2 linked regions of the Caenorhabditis elegans genome follow. The protein of the gene in region 1 interacts with the protein of each later gene in a pairwise test. Each region holds a gene or a part of one and is shown on either strand. Other genes may lie near its edges. The genes, in order: npl-4.1 and F19B6.1.

Region 1 (4,629 bases):
AGGTTCTAAAAAATAATATAGAAAAACGGTCTCTTAATTTCAAAAAAACTAAATCAAATAATGTGATAGACTCTCTCAATTGAAATAGATAAAATTGAGAGAGACCGTGGCTATTACATTTGTAAATTAATTTTCTTAAACTCTACTTCTATCTCCAGTGAGCCATACTCGTGAATTGATCGCATTGAATTCTTCTCTTCAATATCACCTTGTCCAATAATTACATCGTCTCGTGAGCACATCTTCTATTAAACAAAATTAGCACTAGGCTAGTTCTCTTCTAAAGTGAGAAATGAGAAGAAATGTGAGTTGTAGAGACGTGTATAATAAAATCCATAAAAATTAAAAATATTGTGAGTTCTTCTGAGATTACGTGAAGGCCGAATAAGAGGTGACGGTGATAATCACAAGAATTTAAAAATAATTTTTCCATAGAACGAATATATAATTGCGTAAATGGTCGTGGTTGCTCAGAATCTCGAGAGACTGTGGCAAATTGTCGAAGTTTTGGCATTTTGCCAAAATTTGGTAAATTGCCAAATCATCGAAAATGTATATTTTCAAAGTGATTTCGAGCAGTTTTGGAAACTTTTACTATAATATTTGAGCACTTGAGAAACCGATTTCAACTATTTCCATACCGTGGAAAAATTATGTTTTAAGTTTTGGCATTCTGCCAAAGTTTTGACATTTTGCCAAAATTTGGTAAATTGCCAATTAGTTCAAGGTGTGTACTTTTAAAGTGATTTTGAACAGTTTTGGAAACTATTACTGTGATATTTTAGCACTTTAGGAACTGATTTTAACTATTTCAATACTGTATAATAATTCTTTCGACAACATTCTCATCGGGCCACATGCGATCACGGAAGAATCTGAAATTAAAAGATAAATAGAAAACAATTTGAGATTATTAAATATTACCTCTCGGTGAGATCTGGAAAAGCTTGATCGTAGAGAGTCAAAATTTCCGGCACATTTTGTTCGTCAACCATGCGGGAAAAGTAGACCAGGTAGTCGGCGACCTCATTTGGAACTCCATCCTCATCGGCTGAAGCTGTTAAAAATTAAGAAATGAGATAAGTTTGTGTTGTTAACAAGCACCTAAATAACTACCATAAATATGTTTATAGAATTACTCTATTGATTGATTATCAATTTTTCTTTTGAAAAGATTTCACAATGCACGATCATTGATCCTCTGATACTCAACTTCTCTCTCGGGCTTTTAAATGATTAACTTCTTATGAACTCTTATGAACACCTTTTCATTTATTATTTCTTTCAAATGAATAAAGCTGTGATTCATTTAATCTGAGATTTGAGGATATTCGACACCGAAAAACACTGAAAATGACAAAAGTAGTCATTTTCATATACAATGAGGGAGTTCTGAGAATTGGCATTGATTCTTCACTGTAACAGTATTTGGAAAATTTGGTTTTTCTGAATTTTATGTATTTTGCTCATGGAATGTTAATCTGCAGTTTTTATGCAAAATTATTTCAGACCAAATTCTCCAAATGTCTGTTTGCCGAATTAAAATAAATCGGTTAATCAAAAAAGGACCGAGTCTTCAGTCTTTTCGAACTGTTTCAAATTTTAACATTTTTCAACTCATTTTACTCTTATTCATCAATTCTGAAAAATAGCATTCTGTGAACTTACAAGAAAAGGTGTTGGTGCGACGACGATCAGAGTGATCTTCAGTGGATAAATCGAATTCCACGCGTCGAGACATTACTGAAAGAAGGTTTTTATATTGATATTATTTAAATGTCAAACTAAATTCGAAAAGGTACGCTAAAATTAAGAGAAAACATTTTTTTAATTGTAAAATTTGATGAAAGGAATTGGAAAATGTGATGGAAAAAAGAAAATTGCAAGCGTTGCATGGGATTTCGCAAGAGTGCCGCACGGTTTTTTGTGTACGCATTTGCTCGTCATTCATGTTGTCTAGGCAGTTTTGATGACATTTTTTATTCTAAAAACAAAATGTTTTATTTCATTTGCTGTTTAATGTTTGAATATGTATGGAAACTAATTTGATACCCTTTCCGCTGCATTATTTTTGCAAAATCTCAAAATTATATATCTTCAATTCACTACCTAGAAGGCATATCTTCCTGCATTTAAAAATCTATTTTATTTCAGATATGGTACTTGAAGTCCCTCAAACTGAGCGTGTCAACGACGTTGATGTTTTTTTAAGCACGCAAGATGGTCAAATTCAGCGTCCAAAAGGGCCCAACTGTCGGCATCCTGTACGTCAAAAGTGCACTAATTGTTTGCCTGTTGATGTAAGTGATATTTTCTGTTGTTTTCATAGAAACTAATATCAATATTTACAGCCATTCGATGAAGAATATTTGAAAGAAAAAGATATCAAGCATATGAGCTTCCATGCACATGTTCGCAAGCTCCTTGGATCCCAGGGGAAGGGCACGACTCTCAAAAAACCGCTGGAAAACTTTCGATGTTCATTAAAACCCAACTGTGATGCTCACAAGCCGTTCCCGAAAGGAATTTGCACTAAATGCAAACCACAGGTTGTAACATTGAATCGTCAAAAGTTTCGTCATGTTGATAACATTCAAATTGAAAATCAAGAGCTTGTAAATCAGTTTTTGGATTATTGGAGACTATCGGGCCATCAGCGTGTTGGATTTTTAATTGGACAGTATCAGCCTCACCTTGAAGTTCCACTAGGAATCAAGGTAAGTTCAGTACTTCATCACTCATTTCTTGAGACGAGTTATTTCATTGCTCATACTTTCAGGCTACAGTGGCTGCAATTTATGAACCTCCACAACACTGCCGTGAAGATGGAATTGAGTTTTTGGAGGATAAAAATCAAAAAACTATTGACAATTTGCTGGAAATGCTTGGCTTGCAACGTGTTGGATGGATCTTCACAGATTGTTGGACAGCTAATAGTGCTGAAGGAACTGTACATTATACACGGCACAAGGTGAGAACAATCTCGAAGAGAAGCCCAAAAAACGAATAATTTTTCAGGATTCCTTCTTCCTATCAGCTGAGGAATGCATCACCGCAGCAATGCTTCAAAATCAACATCCAAACATCACAGAGTACTCGATGGATCGTCACTATGGATCCAAATTTGTGACCGTTGTTGCATCTGGTGATGAATCGATGCATGTTAATTTCCACGGATATCAAGTTTCAAATCAATGTGCGGCCATGGTTGAAGCTGATATTCTCTGTCCAACACTGTACACTCCTGAATTGGCTTATGTTCGAGAGACACCATTATCCGAAGAACATTATATAACTGATGTTCAATTTTCGATGAAAAATGAATACGGAGCCGAGGTTATGAAAAACGGACGACCACTTCCAGTTGAATATTTGCTGGTGGATGTTCCTGCTGGAATGCCAAAAGAGCCTCACTACACGTTCCACGTTGGCACATCTAATAAATCGAAGAGTGCCAAATTTAATGTTGAAAATCGACAAGCAATTGGACAACTTCAAGGAGGTGCAAATTTGATTCAATATTCATCCGAATTCTCTAAAAATCAATTTTTGGAACAGGCTACAAACTTCCACTTTTTGCTCTATTTAGTAACCAATGACCAAGTGCAGATTTCTGATGAATGGATGAAACGATTGTGTGATGCAGTTAAAGCTCAGGACAGAGGAACTGCAATGGAATGGGCTCAGGAATGTGAAGATTGGCATCAGTTGATGGCTTTAGCGCATGCTAATGGAGGAAGCGGCAATGACGGTAAGCTATTATTTTAGTGTGATTAACAACAATTTTGAAAATGATTGCTTCTCCGATTTTACAAAGAATATTTTAATCGATTTCTCATAGTTTCAGATATTCCTGTCATTCCAAATGGTGATCCTTTCTCCGGATCAAGCAGTGGTGGATCAGGAGGAGCTGTGTGGAACTGTGGACACTGTACATTCCAAAATGAAGCAGCAAGACAGGATTGCTCGATGTGTGGATTGCCAGCTGCCGATTAAAAATTCATTTTTCTGCTTTTCTACTAGTGTATTTCTACTGGTATGCTCTGTAAAGTCACCCACAAATGAATTCTTTTCTCCATATTTTTCATGAAGACAAATTAAGAATTAATTCTAAAACAAAAGCAAAGCTTCAGGAGAAATTGAAAAAACGTTAAATACAATTTATGAAATGTTTTCCATTCGTAGAAAGCTATCCATTTTCCATTTTCAATCTTTTTGAATTATCCAGTCTCGTTCGAAGTGCGCATTCAAAATTGTGACGTCTGGCCAACTCACCAGAGATCAGAAAGTATGATTTTGTTTCAAACTTTGAAGTTTTGTATTCTTTATTTTTAAAAACAAAATTTCAAAAGACAAATCTGAACAATTTTTTCTAGAAAGTTGAATTCATTAAAAGTGCAAAGAACAGAGTGGGCGTGGCCAAACGAGACTCCGAATTCCGCTTAGCAGTTTGCAGTGTGATTTCAGTTTCGATCGAAGTTTTGCAGCTTTTTATTCTGAAAATGGATTTTTCTTAAATAAGTGAATTAGTAAATCCAAATTATCCGAAAAATAACGATATTTGTATTCGAACAATATAAGAATTCGAACAAACGATAGTGCTATAGTTTTTTTTTCAAAAATGGTAAA
Region 2 (7,150 bases), on another chromosome or scaffold:
AAAATGCACGTGTGAAGGAAACTTGACAAAAATTGAAGAAAAACACAATGAACAACATGAAAAAGAGAATGCGTGAATGGATGATGATATTAAAACCGATTCCTGCAACGACAAACGCGCTCCGTTGAACAAAAAAGAAATGGAACAACGAGAAAACCGAATGTCGTGTACAGATTTTTGTGTGGAAACGCGCAAAGATGTAGAGGGAAGAATTTAACCGTCACAAACAACGCGAAAAAACACTAGAAAGAACAGGGTATAAATGAATTATCGAGCTGAATGCCAGAAATCATGAAGAGAAGTCAATAAAATGAAGAACGGAAAAAAAGGACGACAAAAAATGAAATAGCATATAAAATTTCAACAACAAATGGAAACAAAATGTATAGAAGGATGGATATGATGATGGGAAAGAAAGAACATTATGAATAATTATAATTATAATAATAAAGTTAGTGAAAAGGAACAAGAAAGTAGGAATTCATCAGATGAAATGGAAGGAAAACAGAAACTTTGATAAATTATGAAGAAAATTGATCATTTTTGTGATAACAGATGATCACATATCGAATGGCTCGTCCATGTCTTGTTCGAGCCCGGTTCCGTAATATCGATCACCAAAATTGCCCATTCCGGGAATCAGATAGCAATTTTCCGTCATTTGGTGGTCCATTGCGGTGGTGATTAATTTAACCTGAAAATTAATAATTTTTAATTCAAATAAAAAATTGTAAACCTTCGGGAAGGCATAAGCCAGTGCATGTGCACCTTGTTGACCCATAAGCAGAGATGCAACAAATATGTCTTCCTCTTTAACATCATGATCAAGAAGTACACGAATTGCCATCATCGCAGCACTCCCAGTAGTTACGGTGGCGTCCATAATGATAACTTTGTATCGAGTTATGTGTGGTGGCAAACGTATATAATGAAGTTCTGGATCAAACGTCGTCTCGTTGGTTTGAATCAAAATTTTTCCGATCACGCAGTCCTTGACGATTGAGCGAAGAGCAGTCTCCATACATTCGCCGGCTCGCATGATTGGAAGACCACAAATCTGAGCGTCCTTTCGTTTGCCAATAGTTCTGAAATAAAAATTAAAGTTTCTAGATGGTTGAGCCTATTTTAGACGTTTTCAATTGTTTAGTTTTCAAGTTTTATTTAGAAAAAGTTTATTCTTATATTGGAAACAATAGAACATTAATATCCGAATATCCGAAACCAAGATCTGAAACTTTGCAATTCTTAAGCCGAAAATACGGTAGCCGGTCTCGATTCGACAGATTTTTTGCTGAAAGAGCGCCTTTAAAGATTACTGTAATTTTAAATTACTGCAGAATTTTTATTGATTCTTTGTAGTTTTTCTATAAAAATTATTTCTGTATTAAAAAACTTGATTGAAACCATAAACAAAACTTAAAATAAAACAAAAAATCCGCAGTGATAAGAAATTGAAACTACAGTACTATTTCAAGGCGCACACTTTTGTTTAACAAACATTTGTCGTGTCGAGACCGGGTACCGTATTTTTGCAGTCAGATTCAGAAATTTCAGAAAGGTTGGCGCTGATTTCAGATTTCAAAAAGGAATTTTCAAATCTTGCAGTGACCATTTTTCAGTTTCAAATTTACTCACTTTCTACCGCCGGCCATCTCAATCTCAACATCTTTGTAAGGCATATGATTCATGCATTCTTCAATAAGAATACGCATTAATCGATCAGAATAGAAAATATGATTGTCTCTACTCGTTTCTCGATCACGAACAAACGTGACAAGACCTTTGACCTGTGGAGTTTCTTTTAAAATGAACAGGTTTTCCGGCAAACAATCCGGTAGATCGTCGCGAACCAAATCGTGACGATCACGGTTGTTCTGATTGCGATCGTATCCGCGTTCAACGAGCTGTGCCATCACGTTCTGCACGATCATGTCGATGGCGACGTCGTTCTCTCCACCGCGCGGAACGATGAGATCAGCCGAATCCATGCATGGTGCAATGTATTTGTCGAACGCCGGCTGCAACTCGAAAGTTACTTGAGACGACGAGTTACAACAATTCTCTTACTTTTACAAATGTAAAGTACTGCTCCATGATGCCGTCGATGTCACGCCCACGATCAGTGACATCCCGAACGATACGACGAGCTAGACGAAGATCTCCATCCGTGTCGACGAACACTTTCATGTCCATTAAATTCTTGATACGCTCATCATGGAACGCGAGGATTCCTTCGAAAATCAAAACGTCAGCTCCATACATCATCTGAAAAGCAAAATAAAATAATTCCATCTGCAGTTTTTTTCCGAAATTGCTAGTAATTTCACAAGATTCCCATTTTTTCGGAACAAAAAAAAAGGATATTTGTAACAATTTTTACATAAAATTTGAAGAATTCGGCAAACTCGCTAAAAATGAAGTAAGTTAATTGAAAAATGAAAGGAAATCGAACGAGGAAGTGCTGAGACCCATCTGAATGAAAAACAGAATCCTGTGAAATTACGAAATAATAATTATAATTATAGCAAACCTTCGAATTCGGATCTCTTGAATGAGTATTAAAATCATAAACCGGAACATCAACACTCTTTCCCTCACGAAGTCGTTTCAAAACTTCGTAGAGCAAATCAAAGTCAAAAGCATTTGGCCCATCAAAATTATATCTTGATTCATGTGCTGCTTTGATTTCTTCCGGCGTCAGAACTTTATAAAAGCTGTCCATTGAAAGAATCGTGACCCATGGTATTCCGAGTCGTTCGACGATTTTCTCGGCGACAGTAGTTTTCCCACTGGCAGATCCTCCACAAACTCCAATTACGAACGGATGTTTCAGTGACTTTCCCTTCTTGTCATACCATGGTGGACGTCCTTTCGTATATATTTTCTAAAAAATCGAAAATTCGTTTTATTTTTAAGTGGAATTAGAAACCTTACCTTGCCGGTCTTAGTGGTAAGAAGATGATGTTCAGCACGTCCTCCACTCATCGTTCGTCTTCTCGTACGACATCCAGCGGCTCTTGGTGAAGTCGAATCCTCAGAATCTCCACCACTTTGGTTGACCATCTCGTTGACAGACGAACCTGTGCGTTAATAAAACGATTAGGAACGGTAGAAACTAGAAATTGTGTCTAGTAGTTGTTGCGCCCCTCTTTTTCTCACTCTCTCCACCCGATTTAGTCTCGATAGTTTACAAGATAAGCATCTTGAAAAAACAGTCATTCATCAATCTTTGCGCCGCCGGGAGCCTTTGACAGGGGCAGAACCAGTTGATATCCTCAAATTTTTTGTAAAGGGAAATGTCTATTTTATCAACAAGCACTATCAGTTGAAAGAGAATTGTCTCTAAAAAGTGTCAGACGCAATTACAAAGAATGGGGGATTATATTGAGTGAAATGAAGTCAACACGTAGTGAACTCCACCACCGGATGACACACAATATTTGAACAAATGTTACGTGATACAGTCTTCCCTCACCTGAGGAATGACTATACGTGGGACAGTCCTCGATCTTCACGCTTTTTCGGTTGGCATCCCCTTTCGAAGCAGCCACATTAGCATCACGCTTTTCTGCGACCATCCTGAAAATAACATAGAATGTAAGGAATTTCAAGGTAAACAAGGTGATGAGATTACTGCGAGGGCAGACTACTGTTTATGTAAGGTTCCGGGTAAAGAAAAAATGTGACGATGATTATTAGTGACAAATAATTTAGGCCAAGTCAATATAGGTTGAATGATAATCGATTTGTTGATCTTCGAATGATCAATCGGTACAGAAGTTTGTCAAATAAGAAGAAAAACAGGAAACTATTCGAAGACATTGTAAATTTTAGGAAAAGCTTCTAACTCCAGAGAGTGGTGCAATGTTCCGTCGCAGTGTTTGCGGAGTCTTGTTTGAAAAATTGCGCGCGAAAGTTTCAAGTGATAAGAAGCAATCGGTGAATCTAGATTTAAATGTTCCAGCTCGACTTTTTTTCGGCTGGAAGTGCAGTGAGAATATTGTTCAGTATTAATAAAAAAAATTATTTTAGGCCAATGTTGAGCATTTGAACAAACAATTTAGATCTGCTCTGATAAAAACTGTTGCAAAAATTTCTTCATCATTAATTAAAATAAATTAATCATGAAATAAACTTGTTGTTTCTGTTTGATGACAACATAAATTCCAGGTGGATTAAAAATTAAATTTTGTGAAAAAGTGATTTTTTTTTTGAATAGTGAACCATAGAAGACATTGAACTTATCAAATGAAAGGCGAGAAAAAATGGGAAAAATGCGCGAAGATCAGTCAAAAATGGCCTTGTGCCTGTCGTACCGGAGGGACAGTCACAACGAGTGTTTTGATATATATCTGATGGTCTTTGTTGAAAAATTCGGTTCGTTGGGGGCACGCGACACGAGAAGGGACACAGGCAAGAGACGATGGACCGACAAAGAAAAACGGGGTAAAGCTGCTAGCTGAGGCGTAGTGGAAGAAAAGTCTTAGGAGACGCAGACGGTGGTTGGTGGCCGATCAAAATATAGAAAGTGCACGAAAAAACGACGCGGCGGATCCTCAAAGTTAAAGAAACGGAGACGCTTTGAGAAAAGAGAGCCATGGCACGGAGGATGTGTCTGTGCCCCTGTCGATCAGATGATCTATGAATGACCGATAGGAAGAGTCAATGAGCGAACTTTTTTCGAAATTCGCAATTTTTCCCCCTTGGTGAGGGCAGAGAACTTTGATAACTGCACTGACAAAAAAGTGAACACGTCGAACGGGAAGTTCCCGCCCTCGGAATGAATTTTGCAGTTTTTCAATAGAGAGCAGGAATTCAAAAGACATATTAATATTTTTCCATTTTCAACTCGCCACACCACACAAATATATTTTGCAGCTGAAAAAACTAAATAAAAAGGGATTTACAGCAAGAAAAATTAAAAGAGAAAGGAATTTTTATTTAAAAAAAAACATCGAAGGAATAAATTTTGACCGTACCTCGTTGTTCGCTGCAATACCCGACTCCTTCGTTTAGACATGTTCCTTTAAAAGCAGGCCTAGAATTTCTGAAAAAACGTAAAAATATATTTATAAATTAAAGTTTTAGGGCAAAATAAGAATTTCGAAAGAATTCTAAAATTGAATGATGCAAAAAAATAGTCAACCAATTATTTTGATCCCAGTGTCCTGCACCTAAATAAATCGCAACGTGCACTTTTCAAAAGCAAACAATATTTGTGCCGACAGTGGGCAAAAACCTCTACATTGCAGAAAAAAGAGATGATCGGATGACAAAATAACGGAACAAAGGTGAGAGAAAATAAGAGAATGCAAGAAAGTTGTGATAAAAATAGGAACAAACAGTAGATTACCGGGGGAAAATCACTGTCGGACAACTCAAAAACTTTTTTAAAAATATGATAATCTAACTTTTTTGAAGAAAAGGTTATATATGAATGCAGAAAAAAATGTGTTCCATCTGGAAATAATATTTATTTTTGTCAAAGTTTTGAAAAAGATGGCCGACGTTTAACGGCACTTTTAACTGCAAACGACAACTTTCCGACACTAGTTGAGGTCTTTTTTAAAGTTATCAATAAAAAATAAATAATATTTTGAAAGGAAACAAATATTTTTCTACATTTAAATATCAATTTTAGTTTTAAAAAATAAGATTATCATATTGAAATATACAGAATATCGTAATGTTATCGGGCACAATTTTCACTTAAATTCAGCATTTTTTTTATCAGTCAAGCCTGTTAGTGTATATTTACAATAATATTTTTAAATTCAATACATAAATATGTATGTCACAAGTTTAATTGAAAGGAAATGTTTCATGTTTTTTCCCGTAACCTTTCAATAAATTAATCACCCAAGACTTCTACAGTAACCCAAGGAATAGCAATAGAATCGTTATTTAAAAATTGACTTATGAAATCATTGGCGCCATGATTACATGACACTTAACTATATACGTAACCAAGTTCCGCTGATGAGAAAGAGAAATGATGTTATGAAACTCAGTTTCCACCTGAAAATCAGCTGATAAACAACGCGGCAAGACAAACAATCTTTCATCAACACAAAAACTTTTTTTTGCTTCTTCTGTGTTCAAGTTTCAAAGCTTATTAGACACACACCACGTCAAGATTTCATAGATCACAATTGGTAATACGAATTGGATATGGGGATGGTATATGGATCAATGAGTGAAGGTTATGGTTGCCGGTTGCCGAAGATGTTAGACCTCGTGTATTTCAAGCCTGCCTACTTCATGCCTTTTTCTTACCGGTCTAGGTACCTACTGCATGCCTACCTTTGTGACTACCACATTCCTGCTTACACACCTACAGCATGAAGGTTTATATGCCTACCTCATGCTTGCCTACAAACCTACTGTATACCCTATGAATATTATAACCTGTATGAATATTTTTTAGTGATGATATTTAAATTTGAAATAAAGCTTTTTTGAGAATTTTTCTTTTTAACGTGACATTCTGAAAACCTAAACCCCTATTTTTTATTTGTTCTAATGTCAAAGGAGGGGGAAATCATTGAAAATTGATTTATTTCTCAACGAGTGCCTCATTAAGCAATCGGTTTTCGATATTAATTCTAGCGGAAAATCGAAAAAATGGATAGCAAAAGCGAAGAAGCTGGTAAGATTTTCAAGTTTTCTTAACTCTACGATATGAAACGAACCTTTCAGAACCTTTGCTAAAACCTAAAAATGTGGAAGACGAGGGTCTAATTACCTCGCTGGATGTGGACCCCACTCAAAAGTCACGATCTCCAACTCCGAAGCCAACTCCGATCCCGGTTCTTATCAATGATACGGTATGAACCTTACAGACTTTTACACCTGGAATCTTCGATAATTTTTCAGCCAGTAGCGTCTGAAATTGAACAAGTGGAGAAGGAATTGGCACATTCGAGTGAAAGATTCCGAAAACCAAAGACTCTTTCTGTGACAAATGACACTGAGTCAGCTCGAATTCCGTCCCAAGTAAAGACAAATGCGAAGAAATTGGTTTTTCAAAACATTCAGGCAGTTGTTCTCAAAAAGAAAGGTGTTCGTCAGGAGATTCTGAAAAAGATTGATGGAGTTGCAAGACCAGGAGAGCTCACTTTTATTATGGGATCGTCTGGAGCCGGGAAAA

Evidence for each region.
Region 2: the proteins of npl-4.1 (region 1) and F19B6.1 interact in a two-hybrid assay, tested with the Caenorhabditis elegans proteins (one large-scale study listed by BioGRID).

Annotation. Positions count from the first base shown.
Region 1 is NC_003280.10:5,629,203-5,633,831, forward strand, and holds npl-4.1 (Nuclear protein localization protein 4 homolog 1), read left to right. Parts: upstream 1-2,148; 5' UTR 2,149-2,156; coding exon 2,157-2,300; intron 2,301-2,351; coding exon 2,352-2,717; intron 2,718-2,779; coding exon 2,780-2,971; intron 2,972-3,018; coding exon 3,019-3,751; intron 3,752-3,841; coding exon 3,842-3,996; 3' UTR 3,997-4,082; downstream 4,083-4,629. Other genes in the region: F59E12.6 (ubiquitinyl hydrolase 1), read right to left, coding at 1-5, 147-242. UniProt on the Caenorhabditis elegans protein: In association with ufd-1 and ATPase cdc-48.1 and/or cdc-48.2, involved in the cytoplasmic elimination of misfolded proteins exported from the ER.
Region 2 is NC_003282.8:12,331,022-12,338,171, forward strand, and holds F19B6.1 (Uridine kinase), read right to left. Parts: upstream 5,021-7,150; coding exon 4,980-5,020; intron 3,580-4,979; coding exon 3,476-3,579; intron 3,081-3,475; coding exon 2,935-3,080; intron 2,885-2,934; coding exon 2,531-2,884; intron 2,266-2,530; coding exon 2,068-2,265; intron 2,019-2,067; coding exon 1,636-2,018; intron 1,086-1,635; coding exon 737-1,085; intron 695-736; coding exon 560-694; downstream 1-559. Other genes in the region: F19B6.10 (uncharacterized protein), read left to right, coding at 6,172-6,345; wht-5 (ABC transporter domain-containing protein), read left to right, coding at 6,625-6,649, 6,700-6,827, 6,877-7,150.